4 linked regions of the Drosophila melanogaster genome follow. The protein of the gene in region 2 interacts with the protein of the main gene of each other region in a pairwise test. Each region holds a gene or a part of one and is shown on either strand. Other genes may lie near its edges.

Evidence for each region.
Region 1: the proteins of CG31955 (region 2) and CG7386 interact in a two-hybrid assay, tested with the Drosophila melanogaster proteins (one large-scale study listed by BioGRID).
Region 3: the proteins of CG31955 (region 2) and lov interact in a two-hybrid assay, tested with the Drosophila melanogaster proteins (one large-scale study listed by BioGRID).
Region 4: the proteins of CG31955 (region 2) and Max interact in a two-hybrid assay, tested with the Drosophila melanogaster proteins (one large-scale study listed by BioGRID).

Annotation. Positions count from the first base shown.
Region 1 is NT_037436.4:6,186,829-6,193,128, forward strand, and holds CG7386 (uncharacterized protein), read left to right. Parts: upstream 1-2,916; 5' UTR 2,917-2,985; coding exon 2,986-4,296; intron 4,297-4,354; coding exon 4,355-5,032; 3' UTR 5,033-5,221; downstream 5,222-6,300. Other genes in the region: D19A, read right to left, coding at 1-1,144, 1,206-2,151; Sf3b6 (splicing factor 3b subunit 6), read right to left, coding at 5,653-5,881, 5,948-6,066, 6,137-6,154.
Region 2 is NT_033779.5:3,711,381-3,716,513, forward strand, and holds CG31955 (uncharacterized protein), read right to left. Parts: upstream 1,487-5,133; 5' UTR 1,403-1,486; coding exon 1,118-1,402; intron 1,066-1,117; coding exon 889-1,065; 3' UTR 846-888; exon of another isoform or gene 774-845; intron 689-773; 3' UTR 501-688; downstream 1-500. Other genes in the region: cutlet, read right to left, coding at 1-238; CG2818 (uncharacterized protein), read left to right, coding at 2,713-3,111, 3,267-4,724, 4,777-4,923, 5,009-5,128.
Region 3 is NT_033778.4:25,135,570-25,142,148, forward strand, and holds the start of lov (jim lovell), read right to left. Parts: upstream 4,059-6,579; 5' UTR 3,973-4,058; coding exon of another isoform or gene 3,872-3,972; intron 3,820-3,871; coding exon of another isoform or gene 3,495-3,819; intron 3,443-3,494; coding exon of another isoform or gene 3,092-3,442; exon of another isoform or gene 3,058-3,091; intron 1-3,057. Other genes in the region: CG43106 (uncharacterized protein), read right to left, coding at 3,092-3,442, 3,495-3,819, 3,872-3,972. UniProt on the Drosophila melanogaster protein: Has a regulatory role during midline cell development.
Region 4 is NT_037436.4:19,260,412-19,266,321, forward strand, and holds Max (Max), read right to left. Parts: upstream 3,774-5,910; 5' UTR 3,615-3,773; coding exon 3,570-3,614; exon of another isoform or gene 3,495-3,569; coding exon 3,429-3,494; exon of another isoform or gene 3,355-3,428; intron 3,114-3,354; coding exon 3,006-3,113; intron 2,797-3,005; coding exon 2,673-2,796; intron 2,608-2,672; coding exon 2,465-2,607; 3' UTR 1,821-2,464; downstream 1-1,820. Other genes in the region: Bet1 (blocked early in transport 1), read left to right, coding at 1,339-1,692; CG42374 (uncharacterized protein), read left to right, coding at 4,086-4,211, 4,270-4,533; Mettl5 (methyltransferase like 5), read left to right, coding at 4,545-5,032; CG45081 (uncharacterized protein), read left to right, coding at 5,668-5,910. UniProt on the Drosophila melanogaster protein: Transcription regulator. Forms a sequence-specific DNA-binding protein complex with MYC or MAD which recognizes the core sequence 5'-CAC[GA]TG-3'. The MYC-MAX complex is a transcriptional activator, whereas the MAD-MAX complex is a repressor.

The sequences.
Region 1 (6,300 bases), on a different chromosome or scaffold from region 2:
TGATGCCGCAGAATCTGTGCCTTGGAGAATCTCTTCGGGCAGAAGCGACAGGCAAAGTCCTTGACCTTCTCGTGGATGATTTTGTAGTGAAGTTTCATGTTTCCAATATTATTGAAGCCACGCCCACAGCCTGGACAGATGTGCTGGCCTTCCTTCTTGGTGAAGTTCACTTGCGGCGACCACGAGGGCACGGATACGGATGGTATTGGATTTACCGCAGTACCCGCCAGCTGAGAAATGTCCACCCGCTGGACGCGTCGCGAGTTCTTCGGTTTGGGAGGCACTGCAGCGGTCCCGCCGCCGCATGCCTTCAGCATGTCCTCACTAGGCATCTGGTTGGGGTCCATTGGCACCAAACCATCCGTCTGCATCTGCATCGGCATCTGGCCCGGCATCGGTACGGACATTTGGCCGGGCATGGGAATGTTAAGCTGCTGGCGAAGGGGCTCCGCCGGCGGCAGATCCCTTTTCTCGTGCGTCTTCAAATGCTTGGTGAGGCTCTTCTCGCAGAGGAATATCTTGCCGCAGATCTTGCACTCGCAGCACTTCTCCCCCGTGTGACTCCTCTCGTGCACCTTGCAGGCGTGCGACTTGCCGAAGGTCTTTCCGCAGTACTGGCAGGCAAAGTCCTTGCGCTTTTCGTGCACCACCTTTACATGATTGGACAACGCCTGTTTGTTGTGCGAGGCATGGTCGCACTGTCGGCACTTGAACTTTTTCTCCTTGGTGTGCGTGAGGATGTGGGCGTTCCATTCCTGGCGCGTCGTCTTGCCCACCCCGCAGTACGGACACACATGGTTCTTGATGCCTGCGTGACGCATAAGGTGATCCCTTAAAGCACTATTGATTACAAAACGCTTGCCGCAGATATTGCAAGGATACGGAAGCTCCTCGCCCGTGTGCTTATACATGTGCTTCTTGAGTGCTGTGGGGCAGCGGAATACGGTGTCGCATTCTGTGCAGGGGAAATCTCGAAGCGGGGCAGCCGCCTTGGTGATACCGTGCACCTTCTTCATGTGGAAGGTGAGCAGACGGACGCGCGGGAAGGTCTTGCCGCAGCCCTCGGCGATGCAGGCGTGAACCTCGGACAGCTCTGTGTGGGCGTGGTCGATGTGAATGCGCAGCCCATTGGCGGTAGTGAAACCTGTAAGGTGGGATTTCATAGAGATCGGATACTTATATTTATACTTAAGCCAGCGTTATACCTTTCTTGCAGGTCTCCACCTTGCATTGGAAGGGCAGCAGGTCGTTGTGGTACTTCATGTGCTCCTCGTAGCGGATGGCCTTCTTGAACTTCTGGTGGCAAATGTGGCAGTCGATGATGCGGTGCAGGTGGCGTTCCTCGATGGGAATGCGCTTCCTCTTCGGCTTGTCGCCCCGCGATGTGCCGTCTTCGGAGTCATCTGATTCGGAGGATGAGTCGCTCAACTCCTCCTCCTCTGGCGGAGGCGGTTTTATCTTTTTGGGCCGTCCCCGGGGCCTCGGCTTGGGTTTGTCTAGGTTGCTAAAACGGTCCTGCTGGGGTCCTGATCCGGTAGCTGGTCCCCTCATGCGCTGGGCCAGCGGAATGTCATCATCGCTGCTATTTGGCTCGAAGTCCAGATCGTGGTCGTTGTCATTGCCGCTCTCGATGGACGAATCGTCGTCGAACATCTTGACGGAAACGTTGCCCCCGTCATCCTCCTCCACCTTGGCCTCCTTCTCCACCTCCTCGGCCTCCTTGTCGACGTGCTCCAGCATCTTGAAGACATCCTCCTCGTTCTCGATTAGCTCCATCTTGTGGTTCAGCAGCGGGTCATAGTTGACGTGGTCCTCTTCCTCGGCCGGGTAGTCCTGCACGGCAACGTTGGGATCGAAGACGTCGAAGCTGCTCTGGCAGGCAAAGACATTGCTGGCCACCAGATCCTGGAACTTTTGCACGGAATCGACGCACTGTTTCTGAAAGTCGTGCAGCTCGTTCAGCTTGGTGTAGCACAGGGTGCACAGGTTCTTCGGGAATCCGTCGTTTTGCTCCACGGACAGGGATGTGCAGAAGCATAGCTTCTTCGAAAGTCCTGGAACCAGATACAAATCGTAGGCGGCGTCGTTCTGCAGGTGGTTCAGACAGATCCTGCACAGGCTGTGGATCGAGTACTGCCTGCCCTCGTTCATCTTGCTTTCAATCGCAATCGGCACTGCGGATCGGGGCGGTTTTCTATAGCTTTTTGCGTCTCTCTCCGGTCAGTAAGCAATAAAATAATATTGACACAGAAAAAATTGTATACTCGTCGACTGGCAATCGGGCGAGTGGGCAATAAGCAAGTACTTCTGCCAGCGAGTTACTCGTCCGAGTGCGTAGTTGTTTTGCGTTTCAGGGCTGGACAATCAATGTTTTTTCTTACCTTCTTATTTGCAATTCTAATTAGGTTGCAATATACAAAAAAAAAAAATATATATATATACAACTAATTTAATTAAATAGATATTGCTTGTATACTTCAAATAGTATTTCAGGGTTTTTTAAAAATATTTTGCAAACTGAGCACCATAGTAACAAAAACGAAACTGAACTTACAATATATAGATAATGGTATGTATATATAGAAAAAATATAAAACAAATTTTTTTGTATTAGTATGTATATATAAACATGTAAAACAAATTGCTTTTAATAATAAGCAACGACATTTGAAAATATACAAACTGGGCATCAAGAAAATTTGATACGAAAATGAACGTACAAGATTTCTGTATCGAAATAAAGTCAAAAATAAATAATAAATAAATGTATTTTAACTAGACGCATGCATGGTCTTGCTAAAAAGCACTTACATTAAAACAAGTTAATATAAAAATAAGAATCCAAGTATGCTGTTTACTTGCCACCCCACTACACCGTAATGGGTTAATGGCATAGCGAAACGGTCAGACTGCCTGTCACACTGGAACAAATTTGTTTAGAAGCTTCGATTGTTATCTGCCCGAGAATTGAGGGAAATGGGCACTATGGAGCTCAAGTACTCCGTCCAATCGCTTTGTCTCACCTGCCTTGTCCACCTGAAGCATGGTGCTGGACACGATCTCTTCGTGGTTCCAGATCTGTTCCAGAAGCTCAGGGCGTGCACTTCGTTTGATGCGGATCAAAACGACGGTTTCCCGAGAAACCTGTGCACCCAATGTTTCACCAAGCTGAACGACCTGCATGACTTCCGCGAACTGTGCGCAGAATCTATTAAACGTCTAAAGGAAATGATGACCAGCCAGAGGAATATGCCCATGGGTGTATTCGAATCTATAGCTGATGATTCTGAGGCACCTGAAAGGCCAGAGGAGCCGGCCAGTTTCGATCCGCTGCTGAATAACAAACTAGAGATGATTGACAACGAGGAGGATGTGTTCAAGTTGCTGGAAAAAGTTGACAAGGAACTAGAGGAGCATTCAAGGGACCAAAGCGAGGAGCACTTCTCCAGTGCAGAGCACAACGGACTGGAGGAGGAGAAAAAGGAGTCGGAAGGGTTCAACAGCGACGATGAGCAGGCCATGGGGCAGCGACGGATTGCGAACGACAAGCGTAAACTGTTTCGCCTTATGAGCTGTTCCATCTGCCAGCAAAAGTTCAAAAAGCAATCAAAGTTCGAGGAGCACATGAAGCACCACAATGACCTGTTGCCGTTTCAGTGTCAGGAGGAAAGCTGCCGAAAGGGCTTCACCACAGCCGGTGCACTGCGTTTGCACGTGGACTATGCGCACTCCAAGAAGGAGGATACGGTTCCCTGCACCGTGGAGGGCTGTCAATTGGTTTTTTCCCGTCTCCGGCTGCTGACCATTCACTTGAAAAAGGTTCACAACCAGGCGAGGGTTATTGCTCCGCGGGGTGAACAGTCTTGCAAGGAATGCGGCGTGGTGTTTCGTTGCCCGGTGGCTATGAAGAAGCACATGTACACGCACACGGGCGAAGAGCTTCCCTATCCGTGTACCATTTGCGGCAAGGGCTTTTACATCAATAGTGCCCTAAAGAATCATCTTCTCCGGCATGCTGGCATCAAGAACTACGTGTGTCAGTACTGCGGAGTGCGAAAGACCACCCGCCAGGAATGGAGTAAGCACATTCTGATCCACACCCAACGGAACCAGTTTAAGTGCCGCATCTGCGACTATGCCACCCACACGAAGCGGGTGCTAGAGAGCCATGTTAAGATCGTACATGAGAAAATCCGGAATTTTGCTTGCCAGTACTGTGGAAAGACGTTCGGGAAAGCATACGCCTGCAAAATACACGAGATGGCGCACACTGGTGAGAAGCGCTGCGAATGCAAGGTAAGGGAATTACCATTATACCCTTGTTACCAAAGTCTGATATATTTTCGCCTTGCAGGTTTGTGACAAAAAGTTCCTGCATTCGGAGAGTCTCAACAATCATCTGAAGATTCATGAGAAGAGCGTGGAAAGGGCTCTGGAAACTTATAAACAGGTGCAAGTAAATGGCGATGCCAGTGACACTCAAGTGGACTCACATCAGCTGCTGAAGGTTTACGCCGAATCCGTAGCCAGCATTCCTAAGAATCCCCGCCGCGTAGAGCAAGTTGATGTGGCCCTATTGGCAGGGACCGCAGTGAATCCCACAGACGAGATTCAGTTTGTGCAAAAGGAGGGTATGTACTTGTGTCCCAGCTGCAGTCAGGGATTCAAGAGCATAGGCAACATGAAGCGCCACTACAAGAGCGTCCACGAAAAAGTCAAGGACTTTGAGTGCCGTTTCTGCTCCCGTCGCTTTGCCAACTCGCAATCCGTGAAGCAACACGAGTGGATACACACTGGCGAAAAGCCCTTCGAGTGTAAGACGTGTGGCAATCGCTTTCGCCAGGTAGCGGCGCTCATCCGACACCAAAAAGTCCATGACGAAAAGCCGGCGAAGCCTCTGGGGGAGAGAAATGACCGTAAACAAAAGGTTGAGGCACTACGGCAGGAAATTGCGAAGGTCGCCAAGAAGGAGCTCAAGGATTTGAAGAACCAACTGGCACTGGAGAAGCAGCAAGACACATACGAAAAGTAATAGGCAGCGGCAGCTAGCCAAACTGGTCCTGACCTTAAGGAGGAACCCTAATCGCAGAATAGTTTACGATTACATAGGGCAAAAGACTTCCCATAATAGTGGGAATTTTTATTGTTGGTTAATATTTAACTATTACTTGTTATCCTATTTCTAAGTTGTTAAATAAACTTGACCCAAATGACACACTTTAGAATAACTACAAATGGTTTTGGACTAAAACTAGTTTTAAAAAAAATTGGTCATAAATCGAAACAAACGATTCTAGTTTTTCAATTTTTTTTTATTTTTACTTTCACTTGCTTGTTATTTTGATGAGAGAGTGTCTTAATGTCGTCAAATGATTGCAAACAGTCGGAACCGGGCGCAAATGTCTGCGTTCCGCGATATCCGGCCGTTTATATGATAGATGGAGTGATGGATGGATGATAATGATTAGATTCAAATGATACAAAATGCGATCAAAAAAATCTACAAGTAGATAGCAAAAATTTGGTATACACATAAGCAGAGCAAGAAGTTCCCTAAACAATGGAAAATGGTCGATGGAAGTGGGGGCGTCATCTGGTGGGGCCCAATGTCTGGCTATGCCCCATCACCGCCTGCCGCACCAAGTGTGGGTTCTAAGGAGCTTCAGGCGTCTTCAGATTGTACTTGGCCTTAATGTTGTTCAGTTCCTCCTGTTTCTTGTCCATGTCCACGCGCTTGAAGGCCTTGTTGGATTGGTAGTAGAGCACCACCAGATAGCGATTGCACACATTAAAACCCGATAAATGGTCACAGGCGTTCTTGGCATCGAAAATGTCCTCGTAGACGACAAAGGCGGTGCCACGCGTTTCCGGAGTGTTGCCTCTGCAAAAGATACACAAATTGATTGAGAGGATTCACGGCGAATAGCATTATCATCTTCAATCTTACACGCGTATCTGTCGAATGGCTCCAAATTTGCCGAATATGTCGTACATCTCGTCCGAGGTGATTTTGTACGGCAGGTTCCGCACGTACAATAGCCGATTCACCTCTGGCGGCAGGCGGATCTGCAAAAGAAATAGCACTTTTCACTCAATACATTTGCTTTGTGTGTGGAGCCGTAGGTTTTCTGCTCACATGGTTGCGCTTGTTCATGTCCGGTCGCTTCGGATGTTAAGCGGCGACAAGGCGAGAAACTTTCACTCGGCCTCGAGGAAAGTGTGTGGCGGCTTTGTCTGACCCGGGATGAATGTCCTGAAGCGTGGTCCTTTGTTTAAAATTAATGACTCCTCTGTCTGGCC
Region 2 (5,133 bases):
GGCTAGCTCCAAAGGTAATCTGCGACAGCTGTGGCGATCCCAGTGTAGAGTTTCCAAGACGGGTGCTATCTCTTAGTGCCGCAACGGGAGCTCTGTTTTCCTTTTGCTTTTCAGCGGCCTGTTTGGATGTGCTCGGTCCATCGTACGCGTTAAACTCGTCCGGCAAGTCCTCCAGCAGCTCTAGTTCGTCTTGGTATTGCAGCTCGAACTCCTCGTTTTCGTCCGGATACTGATCCATACTGGTTTCAAACGAGCGTCCAACAAACAACTTAATAAAATCCTATTATATATAAACAAATTGTTACACTGGTATTTTCGCGCCAAAATGGCAAACATTAACAGCTGTTCGATGGCAGAGTTGCCAACTATCGTTATCAAAGTGATGGCTGTCACAAGCTGATTGATTTAGTAAGCTTAAATTATTTGATTTATTTTATTTATAAATGCATTGAATGTAAATAAAAATACTTATATAACTAGTTTCAATAATTGGTTTTGATATTAAAATTGGTGCAGGCACTTGGTAACTATGGCACATTTTCCAAACAACTGTTTTGTATTGACTTGTTTACCTTTCTCGTTTCTTCTTCTTCCACTTTGTTTACTGATAAAGAAAGTCCGCCAAAATGGAAGTGAATACGAAAATGAGTATTCTTTGCATTCCTTATTTCAAAATCAAAGTCATTATCTATAATCAGTAAGCGAGAGCACATTTCCCGTTCCCTTTTAATTACAGCTAGCAAAATGACAGAAGAAAATGACGATTCATCTGTAGGGCTGTTGCATTCTTTGTTTATATTATATATATATATAAATGCATGTGTTGATTTGAGCATATATTGAACCTCTATAATAGATATATATGTTGAAGGTGGCTTGCATTCGTCACTATGCAAAGCTTTTCACAACTTTGGTGGACGAAATGGACTTATGACACCGCGGACACTTGATGCAGGTTTCCGGATCTAGAAGTCCTTTGATCTTGTGCAGACACGGATGTATCTGCGTTCTCACGTGTTCCTTTGCTGCGATTGGCTCGGCAATATCCAACCGCTGGTGGAGTATCTGAAATAAAGCAAGTAAAATGTCCAGCATGTGTTCTTCGATTCCTACTCACATTGTAGGCCTCCTTCCATAAACTTGATTTGTAGCTCTGTTTTCTGGGCTCACTGTATTCATAAACACGAATGCCATTTTTTACTCGAACAGCATGCGGATACGGCGGAATGCTGCGCGAAAGTTTCCTAGTTATAATTTTGCCTTCAGCAGAAGCGTAAGCTGAATCCAAAATATTTCGTACACTTAATTTGGAATCCGGCATGTGCGAAACGTGTTTTTCGTCGTCGTATAAATATTCGTATGGTAGATCAGAACTATGAAAAACTACCTTGTCCCCCTCCATGGTGTGTTCGATAAAAAAAATTTGAATTGAAGACGTCTTATCACGAAGAGCTTCTGCGCTCGACTGATGTCTACTGAATACTGCAAGCTTCTGGAATGTAGGCAGATCTGAACACTATGACTCATTTTTACTAAGCTGCATTCGCGCGGGAGGGACATTAAATAAAGTCAAAGTTAATTTTATAATCCTAAGCTACCGGTTTTATTAAATTAAATCTGAAAGAATCTCTTGAGCTAGGTAAACAACCAACAAACTTTTTATTAAGTAGTAACTGAAAGTTCAGAAACTTTGCCTAAATTGCTGAGATACTTTTCGAAAACTGTGAGATACTCTGTTGCGGAAGACGGTCACCCTAAAAATCAGCTGTTCGCGTTGCCAACCTGTGAGAATGCGCTCAAATATCAAATATAAAACTTGTATTTTAAGTGCGTGTAAGTAAGTAGTATGTAGTATATATCTAAAAAGGCATCTACTATTTTTAAGTGCTTTAGGCATTTAGCATTGTGAAAATATTTACTTCATCAAAAACCTATCGATATCTTGACATTCAAATACTTTTCACATCCCTCGCTAGAATCGGTCAGTGGATATATAGATAACAAAATAATGCAACTCACAGTTTCAAGGGGATCGGAAGCCCCTGCGGCGCTGAAATCGTTCAGATAATATAAAGTTATATCCACATTATAGAGTTAAGCCCCCCCGCCACGAAAAGAGAAAAACATCATGTGTTGTTAGCTGAAATCCGTGAGCAAAAACCAAAAACAGCTGCTATGATCAAAAAATCGGGCGACTCCTCAATTTGCACACGTTTGTTATAGTTTCGTGTACGCGTAGGAAAATCACAGAAAATCTAGGAAAATCAAAGAGAGAGAAAGTGGAGGAGAGCGAGAAATCGAATCCAAACAAAGCGATTTCGGCTTATTCTTCTATTTCAGCACACAACAACGCAAAGTAAGTGATACAAGTTATTTATTTACGTCATCCACTGATAAGGGAAACCAAAAACAATTGCGGACTGCAAGTGAAATTAATGTTGTGTTAATATCTTCGAATTACTTGCGCTCGATACAATAAACAACTTGTGACCGCAGCTGAAAATAATTGAAGTACAGTGCGTATACGCTAACGAGCACAGTAGTACTCGAAAAAAAGAGAGAGTTGGCATAAATTACTTGTGCGCATGCAATACAATACAATTATACTGAGTTTCAACAATTAGTTTAGTTCTTTGCTGCTAACTACTATTATTCAAAGTGTATATAGCTAAGGATTATATATAGATATTAATTATTATCCATCCCCACAGAATGCACAACTGGCTGGCCTCACATAACGGCGATGAGGATGCGATGGCTGCGCCATCATCCTGTCCTGCGTCCTCGGAAAACGGCAGTCGATTGGAGTCCCGCCGGATCTTTGGCGACATTACCACCAACAGACTGTGGACCTTTCGGGTGCTGATGAACCAGGATCTGGCGCCCAACGAGCAGTTGGCCATAGTGGGTAATTGCGAGGCGCTGGGCAACTGGCAGCACTCGGGAGCGGCTATTTTGTCCAAAAATGAGGAGGACAATGAGTATAGTAATCTGTGGACAGGAGAGATCTATATTCCGCGTCACTGTGACACGGAATATCGCTATATGGTCTGTGCCGTCGATCCCGGCACGGAGCAGCTGATTGTCCGCCGTTGGGAAACGCAATTACAGGTTCACAAATTCATTATGTACTGACCGACCCTATACGAGTAGAGTCCAAAAATCCAGCTGGACCTGGGATCGGATTTGATTTGTATGCACTCGTATGGGATTCATGGTTTGGAGCTAGCCCAATAACATTGCTAAGAGATTCCCTTTCCTTACAGCCCCGAATAGTCAAGGAGTTGGATGAGCAGCCTGCCAAGAATCAGAGTGACATATTTGGCTCGTTCAATGGCCAGGAGAAGGTGGATCGGGGCTGGCTGACCAAGGAGACTCTGGTGCAGCTAAAGTTCTTTTATGCTCCGTTCACGTTTAAGCAGCGCATGAAACGTAGGCATATCCAGGTCAAAGTGACGCCCATGAACCTGAGTATTCCCAGTGCCGGCTGTGATACCATGCTGCCCTCGTCTCCCATGGAGGATTCCTTGTCGAACGACACTCATGATACCAAGGAGAACGGCGGTGAATCCTCCACAGCCTTTGCCTTTAGCGAGGTCGTCACCTTGAGTGCCGACGAGTGCGAAATCAGAAGTCAAGAGCAGTTCGGCACCGGCTGTGGACCCACCGATTTGGTTATATTCCATCTGACCGTTGGAGACTTCGAGAACACGGCCTACCTGATTGATTTGTACAGCTACAGCTCCCGGGTGGCCAAGGAAGATGGTCCACCGAACCACTTGGGCTATCATTATGTGCTGCCCAATCTTTTTAAACGTTCTGAAGGCAACTTGGAGCTGCCCATAACCTGTGCCAAGGGCCATCGACCTCTGGGAATGATGCGTCTTGGTTATCTTATCGTGAAGCCCTCATCGCTGTGTGCTCTAATGGATATGAGTGTCAGCTATGCCCGATACTGGAACAGCAAGTGGACGGGACTGGATGTGGGCCATCGTGGTTCCGGAACTAGTTTCAAGGCCAAGGACGCTGTTATTCGGGAGAATACCATTACTTCTTTGAAGAATGCCGCAGAGCATGGTGCCGACATGGTGGAGTTCGATGTCCAACTTAGCAAGGATCTGGTGCCAGTGGTGTATCACGATTTCATGATCTATGTTTCACTAAAGTCGAAGTGCAGTCTGCAGGAGCACGATTTCCTCGCTCTACCGATGAGGGAGTTGTCCCTGGAGCAGTTGAAGAAATTGAAAGTCTATCACATTGCTGAGGGTCTGTCCAGGGAGACGCGTTCGTTTCACAACGATGATTGTTTAGAGCACCAGCCGTTTCCGCAGCTATGCGATGTCCTGGATGCCCTAGATGTCCATGTGGGTTTCAACATAGAAATTAAGTGGTCTCAGAGGCTAGAGGACGGCAAAATGGAGGAGGAATTCGAGCATGTGGTGGACAGAAATCTCTATATCGATTGCATATTGGATGTCATCCTACGAAAGGCAGGGAATCGCAGGATAGTACTGAGTTGTTTTGATCCAGATATCTGCACTATTCTGAGATTCAAGCAAAATCGATACCCTGTCATGTTCCTAACTCTCGGCAGGACGACGAAATACCAGAAGTATATGGACCCCAGGGGCAACTCCATGGAGCTGGCCGTGTGGCACGCGGTGGCCATGGAGTTCCTGGGTGTTGTGGCACACACGGAGGACCTGCTGCGAGATCCCAGTCAGGTAACATGATCCACTCTCGAATCGTGAATCATTCAGCTACGGACGCTTTTAGGTGAATCTGGCCAAGGAGCGTGGATTGGTGCTGTTTTGTTGGGGCGACGATAACAACTCCAAGGATACCATCAAGCTGTTAAAGGAACTCGGCCTGCACGCCATCATCTACGACAAAATGGATGTCCTGACCACCAAGGAGGTCAAGGTGAGTCCTTGAATTAATTGCCAAACAAAGCATTAATATATGCTATCATTAACTTTGTACTCCATTTACTTGTATCTCCCCCCAGCAAAGTGTGTTCCACCTTCAGGCCAAGGACAGCCAAAAGGAACTGCTCAAGTTGCAGGCCCTGGAAATGGGGCATGTGTGGCACACCTCTGCCGACGGAAACGAGGAGCAGCAGGCATAGAATTT
Region 3 (6,579 bases), on a different chromosome or scaffold from region 2:
CAGCAGCCACAGTACCAATGATTATGTTTATACTATTAAAGTAATTTACAAAAAAAATGACGCCCCGCCAAAACAAGATAGTCGGCAGTCGACTCTTCCTTATCCTTCCACCAAGAGCAGATGGCCAAAGTCAACCGCTTTAGCTGGAGGTTAAGTAGCTTGCTGTCTACTTAACTGTAATCGAAGTATGGCCCAGCGAATTGGCGATCAAACGCTGATTTCGATCTTTCCAGATTGCCGTTCGAAACCTTTTTAACAACATTTTTCAAGGAAGATGTATAAGTGTGGTCAAGTGCAAACTAACTTCAGCATAATCACTTTCCAGTCGCTTATAGCGGTAGTAGTTGAGGTGCTAGATTAGCAAATAATGTGGGCAACTCCACGCAGCTGCATCTGGGCTCATCCAGGAGGCTGCAAGGCCAATGTGGAGGCCATGTGTGCTTGTTTCGTGCTTGCCGCTCGTTAACTTGGATAGCCTTCTCCGCGCACCGTCATGATCTGCTATTATACCAGGTCGCTGATTTGGTGATAACGATCGTAATCGTTCCGATCCTTTGACTGCAACACATGTTGCACTTTCCTCGGCTCATCGTTCACCTTGCTGTTTTGTGTGCCATATTATTTTCTCTACTTTAGAAAATGGATTTTTGCACACAAATAAGTATGATTCTATTTTCTCTCTTATAACACGCTTTCCATTTTCGATTTTTACTACTGCGGTCGGGGTACTTAAAACGATCGACTCTATTTGGTAAGGAGTAATGTTTGTGAAAGGAATTCAGCGAAAGAAATTGTTCCTTCCTTGTAACTTCCGGACTATTCATTGTGCGTAATTAATGCTTCTTGTAGCAACAAAACTATTTTGTTTATTCACGAAAACCAATCGGTAATACAATAATAAATACAAATGACTATTAAATCTATACTCATTAATATGCAGGACAATATGGTATCCTGACATTAATACAATATTATGGTCTTCGAGTTACGCCAAAGGGGTTCGCCTCCAGAAAATCAAATGTACATACACACATTTGTTCAAACAAATACTTTTCTGAATATGCATGAGAAACCCTATAAAATGAACTGGTGAATGTATTAAGGTGTATGAAGTAAATTTTACCCCCTTTGAACTCTACCCAGAAATTTTTGAGAAAGTTGTCAGCCAGGTTTTTGTGTTAAACCAAGTAAAATGTATACATATATGAAAAGCGCGGTATAATAGAAATGAAATGTGGTCTGCCTTGCTTTATTGGATAGTACTCTCCTGTATTAATCGCAATGTATCACTCATTGGTTTCTTTTATTTCTGTTATGCCACACTTCCTGTGGGCTGAGTATAAAATGATTCCAATTTTAGATTAGTTAAATTAAAAAATAACAAAAAGTCCTTGCCCTCATCCCATCAAAGCCATCATAGCAGCATTGATAGACATGTCAATGTGGCATATTTGGCTTGCATGGCTCTGGTTACTTAATTTAAAAGACACCCAACGATTATTGGTTTGAAATTGCTTAGAACACGCAAGTACGGTTTTTCCTTGTTTTCTTTTTTTTTTTTTTTGCAAAAGTTTTATGTATTTTTACGGTTGAGTAAGTAAGTAGGCGTTGATCCAGAAAATTCGATTTTCGTCGGATCAAGGCAGCCTGCTACAACATAATATAAAAATATTAAGACGGCGTTGGTCGCTTGTACATAACTATCCAAAATAACTATATTCACAAAGTCAACCGTCCACCAACTAGCACCATTTTGGTTTCATATGTCTTGATGTAGCCTGAACCAAAGGTTCAAAAACGCACCCATGCTCACTTACGCGCAATTTTAAGCTACTTGTTTGGGGCGTAGAAGATTCTGATGCAGGAGCTATCATGATGCGATTCGCAAGGCGTTTATAGTGCCAAGACGGTATTGCATTTCAATATGTTTGCGTGTTTCTTTAATGCCTTGTTTGGTTTCACATCTCGTATCCCATTCATTTTACCGCGGTAGTCCTCGTACCTTCTCACGTGTACATGAAAAGCTTTTTTGTGCGCAACAAGTTTCTAAACAAAATTCTGAATTGATAAATGATATTGCAAACAGTTTCGGACTCGATTTACATTGAGTCGAGGCCGTTCGTCATTAATTATTTTTGTGTAAGTCCTTGAGGGCAAGCAACGAAAAGTTAAGGTTTTTGACATTGCATTGCAATATGCTCTTTTGTTCATGCTAACAGAAAAACTGTGGTTTCTGGCTTAACATCTTACAAGTCTGAGATAAACGTCATAACGTCTCATATTATCACCCATATATAGTATCAAAAATCTTCACATAAAACGTAGCCAAGACAAGCGATCTTGGAAAGAACCCGAAAACTTCCACAAGTTGCCTCTCGAAGAGGGCTCATAATAGATTATTGGTACGTGCTGCGAGACAGGTTTCAAGGATGTAGGATAGGACAGGCAGCACACGAGACTCATTAATCCTGTTGGCAAACGGGTGCCCGGGTGGCCTTCGGCTTCCTTGCCACGACTCATTTGTGCTGAAAACTTTCTGTTTGATAAATTGCCCATAATACAAGCACACATTCTCGCTTCTCTTACAACTTTGTGTGGGGCCAATCCCAAACCATGTATAGTCATGCCAGAAGCTGCAAAAGGGCTGGTAGCTGTTTTGGCCTGAACTTTTTCGATAGATAAACACTTAACACGTTTTTGCCAGTAATCTAAATACTCCCCTTTTGGCGAACATATATTTACTTACCATTCAATCATATTTGTGTGGTGGCGAGGAGAGCACTTTAGCAACGGGTTTTCTGCAGCCCTTTGGCGTTTTAATATGCAAATACTTGGGCGTCGGTATTCTCTTATTTTTCTCAATTGACGTGTTTTTTCTTTGCAGTGCCATGTCTGTACACAATCTGATACCGTCACGTTATGTCAAACTTATGGCTGATTTGATTTGTGCGATTGTCACGTTTTTGTTTTGATTATTTAATGCCATGAAAGACAACTTAAAGTCACGGTAGAAAGTTTGGTCTATAAATAATTTGAATTTTATATTAAAGAAAATATATAGACCTTTAAACTCAAAGGCATCAAGTAGTAATTATTTGTCTGCATATTCCGGATCGCTATCACTAGTAAGGCTCTGATTAATGCTTATGTTATTGAGAAATCTGTCGTCAGCCGATTCCGAGTCCCCTGTTACTGAGCTTGATAAGGACGGTGATGTCCTACCAGAATTTTGACCTGAACTAAGTGCTGAAGGCTCTGCGTAATTTTCTCCAGCATCAAAATCCTCTTTATTATTGCCGACCCAACATTTTTCGCACTGATCTCCGTCGTCCGATTCACTCATGTCTTCCTCTTCGAAATCACCATAAGAGGATTCAGATTTAAGGAGCGTGTCCCCAGGTGGCAAACTTACACTACCTTGATGTTCATCTGATCGACATGCCTGCGCTTCCCATTTAGAAATGCACTCTTAGTTTCTTTATGTTTGTACTTACCGTATCCAGATTTCGACTTCTACACACGATTTGAGCGTCATGCAGCTCCTTCATCAAGGCATTTCTTTCCAATGAGTGATACTCGCGTTGAAGATGACACTCGGATTGCAGCTCTCGGTTTTGTTTGCGTAAGGAAAACATTTCGCTCAAAATTTGATGCTGCTTCTCAACTATAGTAGTCACCAACTGCTCAAGGTTCTCAATTGTAACTTCGTATTCGCGTAATTTCTTTTTAAGGAGCCAGTTCTCTACACGGCAGTCGGATAGACTTGAGGCCGACAATCTAATCTCAGCAGCATTATGCCCCAATGATTCTTTATTCACCCTAAGAGAAGTCCAGTGGTAACAAAAGATAAGATAATTAAATTATCACTTACTCGTTGAAAGCGCTCATGTCGTCACTTGCAGGCAAAGGAAACGCTACTAGGTCTCTGGTGGCAATGTCCCCGAGATCATGGTATTGGCAAATACAGGACATTATTCGATAAATTTGAAAGTATTCTAAAGCATTAATTGCACCAGACTTTTAATACAAAGCTAACTAATTTCTCGAGTAGAGCGTAAAAATGGGTTAGTTCTAATATTACAAAACGCTGTGTTTCTCTGTAAATCAACTTTGCGACAATAATAACCGATTGTCCTCCTGTTTTAAATGTTGATACTCCTCTCAAAGCTGACTTAAACTGCCCGAACAGATATGGGTGTCAGGGCATTTCACTTTACAGACTGCACCCATCTACCGCTCGCTGCGTCCCCTCAGCCAGTGGACACTTTACGACTTGACATTTTCACACTTTGTTGGCAACGTTTTGGAAGCTTCCTACACTTTCCTCCCTGTGGGGCACAGCAACTGACTTTTGGGTCGTCCTTGTTACAGCGTCAAAGCCAGCGTCGATGCAAGCTCCATGAATCCGCTTGGGATCCGAGAAGTGCAAGTGTGTGGCTTCAGCTGAATAGGAACTGTATAGGTATGAGACACTCCTTTTTTGTGTGCGTCGGTGGATTGAAGTGCAAAATTGGTTTAAGTGTTTGCTAAATTGGCAGCAAAATGGCTTTTTCAATTTATCCTCAACGTTTGTGTGCATACTCGGAAAAGGCAAACGCTGTACAAAAAGTTAAGCAAGATAAACTAAGCATTTTTTACCACATTTTTTTGGCAACTGGTTTTATATAGCTATGTTGTTGATATTTCTCCGTTTGTTAACTTTTGCAGTGCTTTGCGAAGTCACCAAAACGCACCCATAAGTGAACTCTCATCCGGATACGAGCACGCATTACTCGCCTAGGTCATTTCACACTCTTACTATTGACGCTAAACGTTTTCAAATAACTGTATTTTTTGTGCACACATATCTTAAAGTAGAGATAATCATGGCTTGCACCGAAGCCACTATTGCAAAGCACATATACGATTGCTCGTATTTTACTACAATTAAAGTCGTATCGTAATCGTGATACCTCAACAATGCCAAATTACTACGCAGGCCATGTTAACATAAATATCTTGTGCCTCCTCTATTTAAGAGTATCTTGAGACTCAGCCCGCCCTTGAGGGATGGCCAATCTATAATCGCTCAACCTTAAACTTAAACTAGAGAACGCATGCAAGCGTTTATTTAAAAAGGCATAAGTCATACGTGGCTAATAAATTGATTTACTAGAGTGGATTAGAGTTCATTGCTATGACATATACAGGATGTTCTAGCTGTACTGCTGAGCAGTGATCTTCGTTGTTGCTGTCTTTAGGGATAGTGAGCTGGCCCTCGTTGGAGGCCCCTGTTAGTGCAGCACAAAGCGAACTTTTCATAAGTTTAACTATGTGAGCATTTAGGGGAAAAGTGTTCTGCCCTCGGTAAGAGCAATGAATTGTAGACCCAAAACGCTTGGCGGACTCCTTCCAGGCTCAATCGCACTTCGTACTTCGAGACTTTGGCTATGAAAAAAAACTTTTAAAATGCCAGTTTGAAGTCTATTATTTGCTGGACACGAGCATATATTGATTGCATCGCAGTCGCCTCGGTCAGCCACAAGATGCAAGAAAGCAAATTGCTTCAACAAATACTCGTACTCCCGAAAGGGGCTTGAGATGTGGAGGGTGATTTTGATGGGGTGGGGTGGGTTGCGGTGTAGGAAATCACATGGTAATCGGTGGACTACGAAACTGAAACCAGAAATAAAAATGCAATCGAAGCCAAGTTTCGTAAAGAGGTCTTTCAAACCGGTTTTCAGGCGCAAAGTGCAGATCCCCCTGTGACGGTTTGCAGAAAGTCTTCGGTTTCTTGGCGGCTTCGTGTAGTGCAGCATTTAGCGTCTTGATCGGTTTATCACCGATTAATTAGAGTTTGATAAATACGCGCACGCCGTGAGTTTATAAATCATGGGGGCAGAGCCAATGCACCGCAGTTAAACAGTCCAAAAACTGTAGAAGCTACTCCTATATAAGATCCCAGGAAAATTTGCATATAAAAAAATTTAACAAAAAAGCACAGTCAAAATAAAGAGCTAAGCATGTTTTACTTTGCCTAGTTTTGATTTTTCGCCACATTTAGCATTTGTGCTCTCGCTGCTTGGGACGTTGCTATACAACAGAATTTTTTCAAAAACAAGTCGGCGATGCAAGTGGGAAAAACATCTTTGAACATTGTTCACACATGAACACGAATATATTTAAAGACTTACAATTTTGGGCTCCGTTCATATCTTATGTAAATGAATCGAGAGCGATAAATTATATTTAGGATTTTGTTATCTAAGGCGACATGGGTGCATTGCTCAAAAACATGTAATTTAAGTGCACACTACATGAGTCAGTCACTTGAGATCGTTCCCCGCCTCCTAAAATAGTCCCTTAGTGGGAGACCACAGATAAGGTCCTCGCCGCTCAAGATAGGCAGATGTGCCCGAGCGTGGGACCTCGATAAGGCGGGGACTATTTACTTAGGCCTCTGCGTAGGCCATTTACTTTAAGATGCGATTCTCATGTCACCTATTTAAACCGAAGATATTTCCAAATAAAATCAGTTTCTTACAAAAACTCAACGAGTAAAGTCTTCTTATTTGGGACTTATATTTGGTCAATCGAGCC
Region 4 (5,910 bases), on a different chromosome or scaffold from region 2:
GATTAAGAAAAGAGGAAGAGCAACAGCAACAACAAACGAGTGCACTTGGTCAGGGTCAATGAAAATTCAAATGCAAAGGTCGCATTATCTCGGCGAACCAGTGAACTCGATAATGACGCACTTGCCACCGCACGAACTTGAATATTTTATGCTTATTGATTTCACGGCCAGTTGATGAAAGCGAGCGGGAGCAACAAAATCGAGAGCGGCATGCCAAATTATGGCCAAAATTACCTAAAGTTAAGTTACTAACACTGGAGCAGTGTGGCCGTAGGCGAGAGCACGGAAATTACCCGACTCTAACAGTAATAGGCACACGGATTAACCCACTGTTTCTAACATTTAAAAGTAGTACTTAGGATCCACATATAACCATATATGTTTTTACTATCTACTAAAAACATGCTTTATTTATATTTGATTAAATTTGTTTGCATATTAAAACGAACTGCTAATAACAGTATTTTATGCATTGTTATTAAATAATTCTTTGACATATTTTACATATGTCCCATATTTTTATGAATATATTTTATTTATTTTATTTGAAATAATTACAAATAATGTTTGAATTGCCTAATTACTATTTAATTAATATTAAACTAATATTGTTTTTGCATTATATATAATAAACTAATAATTCTTACACATAATATGTGTAATAATAACTGTACGTACCATATTTTAATGAACACCTAAATATAATACAAATTTTTTTTTAGCGGCGATGGTGAAACTGTGGAATTTTGAACATGGGGACGATTTTTATTTATTTATTTTTTAGTTATTTGGAGGTGAATTTTTGCCGACCGCCGACTGTCTCGTTGTCTGTCCCGATTTCCCTAATCAAATTTTTATGAAATCTTAAAACAATATATATATATATATATAGTAAGTTTTGGAAACTTATAGAAAGAACTTACGATATTAAAAGCGTATTGGCAAGCAATGGGTTAATTGAAAATCGTAATCTCTGCCACACGCATTGCTACGGAATAATTTTGCTACTCCGCTTTGGTCACACTGCTCGGCGACTAAAAATTGAATTGCATGAGAATTTAAAAAGTTTCGTTTAATAAGTAGAGGCATTAGTCAACCGATTCTGGAAATCACAACACGAGGTCAAGGGTCAATGCACAGTCAACCACAAAGGTTGAGCCAAGAAGCGTATATCCCAACAGCTGTTCTGCCGCTGGGTGAGATTACATGTTTACGTTTACGTGTCACTTCGAAAACTGAGATTTGTGAGCATTGTATTAATTTATAATTAATTAATTTCGTTAAATTCACCCGATCCGCAGCAATCCGGATGCCAAACTGGCACACTCGGGGAGCAGTATGCGCCGCAACAACTACCCGTACCAGCCCCTAAACCAGCACCCTTCAGGGCCCCATCCTGCGAGCCACGACGCCTTGGAGGCGGAAAACGAGCAGGCGGCGGAGGAGTTGAAGCAGAAGATCGGGGCCCTGAAGTCCCTCACCATCGATATAGGCAATGAGGTGCGCTACCAGGACAAGCTGCTGCGCGGCATCGACGACGACATGGACCGGACGAGTGGATTTCTGGGCAACGCGATGACGCGGGTGGTGCGACTGGCCAAACAGGGCGGTGGTGCTCGCCAAATGTGCTACATGTTCCTCTTCATCCTCGTCGTGTTCTTAATCCTCTGGATAACCCTAAAGTTTAAGTAGTTGTTGGTAATTTTATAAAATATATACCCACATATTTGTATGGTTTAGTGTAGTCGAAGGTTGTATTTGGTTCGGAATGCGGTTCACTTTTGGCTTAAAACCATAAAGTTAAATATATTTCTTAAGTTCAAACCAATATTAGAAAGACAGATACGTACGTTAAAGTTTTTTCAGCTCGTTCTTTATAGTTCTCGAGTAATAAGCAAAAGGAGATTCCAGATATAAATAAGGGAAGGTTCCAGTATCAAGTGATCAAATTACTTGCAAAAATTGCTGATTTTATTTAGCCCTAATCGCATAAAATGTCAATCCTTTTATCATTTATAAACTTCTTCAAAAGCAGCACTCATGTTACTCAATTGGTCCGTTATATTTTCCAATTTCCATAATAGAATTCATCAACAAGAAGCCCCTGTTTTTTTCTAAAAATATGTACTTACTAGTTTACTTTATTCTTTGCGCACAGAGTGACAATTTGTTGAAAGTAGAAAAGACGCACGCATACAAATTAAGGTCGATTGGGTGGGTTACATTTTGGGCTTACAGCTAATGATGATTATGATTATCGGACTTGTTACTGTTCTCATTTCCACATAATTTTAATTTTCACTTTAATTCGAATTTGGAACCGTTTCCTTCACAACTTTTCGAGGGCTATTGCTTTCGTATAACACAACTCAAAGTTGAACTAAATCCACGTAAGAATTCAGAATGTCGGTGAAAACGGAAGCCGGAACACGCCTGTAAGCAGCACTTTGGATTGGATCAGCGGCTATGCGTGGAAGGTCTTCATCTTTTTATTGCGTCTACTGAAGTCCTGGTCGAGGTCTTCGTCGTCGGCCTCCTCGCTGCCCACTTCCTCGTCGCTGAGAAATTCGCTGAACTGATCCCCATTTGAACTCTCCAGTGCTTGTACTGGAAAGTATATAAAGTATCTTAGCAGGAAGTTCATTAATAACCTGTAGTAGTTAGTTGCTCACTCTGCTTAGCTATTATGTTGTTTTGCCTCTTGATCTCTTCGATGTCTTTCTGGTTTTCACTGATCTTCCGCCTCATCGTCTGTATGCATTCGGTGGTCTTTTTCAGGATTTGAGCTCGACTCGCCTGTAACAAAAGATATGTATTATTAACTTATTACTACTTCTTATTAGCTTCATCACACAGGGTGTGGATTTTTTTAATATATTTTATGCGATTTGCTTAATTTGACAAGCAATAATGTAGTTTATTGTAAAACGAACTGGTATGGACTTATGGGATTTTCTTGGCAGAAAATGAGCCCGGCTGTGTCACCTGTTGCTCTTCTGGATTACCTTTTCGCCCTTGAGTGTGGGCACCGCCTCACGCAGGTTGGTGAAGCTCTCCTTGATGTGATCGCGCCGCCTTCGCTCCAAAGCGTTGTGGTGCGCCCGCTTTTCGGCCTTGAAACAAACATTAAAATTAGCATATAGGAAATTCCATCGTAAATACAGCAGAGTATGGAAATAATAACAAAAATGGAACAAAATGGTCTCAAAGCAATATGAACAGAAAGATAAGTTAGTAAATAGTAATATATAATATATTCAGTCCCTCTAAGATTATTTTCGATTACGAATCCTATTGCTGTGAACTCTGCTGTATCGTAATCACGATTCTGTAACAGCAACAACAACACGTGTGCGTTCTGTTTATCAACAAAAGGCAATGTGCGCAGTCGCTTTTTCCCACTCAGTTTATGCATGATGGATAGTCACCTGGGTGAAATTGGCGGTGTTTGTGTGTCGCGAGGATCCCAAGCCAGTGTCCGAGTCCCCGTCCTCCTAAAAAGTCGTTAATTTGGCATTAAAATCAATATTAAACACACGTATCAGTATTTTCCTCTACGCCTTGCTTACGTCACTTTCGATGTCTATGTCGCGGTCGTCGTCGCTCATACTCATGTTGCTTCACTTGTTTTGCACGGATTGCGCGCAAATTAATAGATATTTCCTAAGATTATTCCACTAAGTTGGTAAGTTTTTTGTTTTTTGTGATTATTCCAAATAAACATGTAATTTTGTTGTTGTCTGCTCACGTTGTAAGACTTGCAGAGTGACCAAATAGAGGAATGCTAATAATACTTCAAACTTAAGTGGCACCAAAAGGTCACCAATATTATTAATATTTGATTTGTATTAAATACAAATTATATATATATTAAGCACAAATTCAATATTCGCTTAACACTCTTGTTTGTTGCAGATTTTTTGTTTATTCGCACATTTGGTTCAGTTCGAATACCGCTACTATTTCCGCCACACTACAGTACTCGCCAGTGTGACCACACTGCTCGCAAAATGCCAAAGGCAGCGGCAGGAGCAGCAGTCTACAAGAAGTTTTTGATATAGTTCAGACTTTTACTAGTTTATTTGATGGCTTTTCCCACCACAAGTGCCCAGCAAGCCGAGACGAACCGCAAGATACTCGAAGAGATCCAGACGAAGAAGCAGTTGCTCGCGGGCGGGATCATAAACCTTGGTCTGAGTCCGCCGAACCAGGTGAGTTCGTTGGGAACATGCCGATCGGAAAATGTGTTTACCTGGTCTTCTATCGTAGATGCCCGCACCCCAGTTGCTGGGACAGCCGACGACAGTGAATCCAGACTTCCAGGCGGGCGTGGGCATTGCCACCAATGCCACATCCACCGCCCGCTCTGCATTTAATCCAACGAGCTCTACGACTTTGGGCTTCTTTATACCTCAGGATTCGTATTTTGGAAATAGCTTTATACCCGTGCTGCCTCGTCTGGAGCCGCTGCCGTCGCCTGCGACCACGCCCACTACTCCGAACGCTCCGCCCAGCCACAGTATCAGCAAATAGCCGGATCCACAATGGCCCGGTTGAAGCTGAGGAAACTGGAGGAGTACCTGCAGGGCGTTGACGGTTTCGAGCAGCCCAAGATCCTGTTGGAACAGTACCCCACTCCGCCGCACATAGCCGCGTGCATGGCTCATCACATGCAGTCGCAGCACGAGGACATCGAGGGAAAGCTGGTGGGAGATTTGGGCTGCGGCTGCGGAATGCTCAGCATTGCTTCCACTCTGCTGGGCGCCCAGCTCACGGTGGGCTTCGAACTGGACGGCGATGCCGTGGACACCTTTAGGGGCAATGTGGTGGAGATGGAGCTACCCAATGTTGACTGCGTGCGGGCGGATGTGCTGCAGCTGATCGGCAGCAAGTGGGAGAAGTCCTTTGACACGGTGCTGATGAATCCCCCATTCGGCACGAAACACAATGCCGGCATGGACATGCGGTTTCTGGAGGTGGCCCTACGGTTGGCCAACAGAGCAGTTTACTCCCTACACAAGACGTCAACACGGTAAGTCTGTATAAAATTGATTATAATCGATATTCGTAGAGGAAAACTTAAGTTTTCTTGCAAAGAATGTAACAGGTAGAGGGAAGCGATTTCCGCTTTACAAAGTATATTTTTAATTAGGATTACCAGCCGTGTATAACCAACGTTTTGAAAAAATCTTTTGATATAACTTATCTTATTTCCTTTACAATTTCTATCCATATCTAAACAAAATTTGGAATTCCTCTCTAGCAATCCCTCTAGATGAGCGGCGTATCTGATATTCGAAATCTTGGTTATACCATTCTCTCTTGTTTAATAGTGTAGATCTCTTGGTTAAACAGATACTCAAGTAGTATGCTTACTGGTCTATATATAGGTATATATTTTAAAATATATTGATACTCAATATTCGGCATATGAATGTACATATGCAGATTTATACTTTAAGAATATCTGCTGGTATAAACAGATGCGCAATCTTTTGTTATTGGCACAGTAAACAAGAGATACAATTGTACCCGCTTTTCGGTAAATGTGCTTCCTTACCGCTGTTTCTGCTTTTGTTGTTGTTTTGTTAAGAGCGCTGCTCACAACTATAAAACGCCGCAGAAACACCAACAAGTTACAGATAGCAACTAGAAGTCAGCAGCAAGATGATCCTCTCACGTAGCCTTCTAATCATCACTGTGGTGCTGGCGATTCTTCTGGCCCCCATGCCCACTGATGCGCAAATCCTGGGCAGCGGCCAATGCCGTCTCACCCCCATTCGAGTGTCCGCTGGCGGGACAGTGTGCGAGAGACTGTGCTTCCGAAGAGACTACCGCGGTCCGCCCAGCCTTTGCCGCCGCATTCCCAGAGATGCAGTGGTTCCTGTCTGCGGGGGTGGTTGCTGCCGC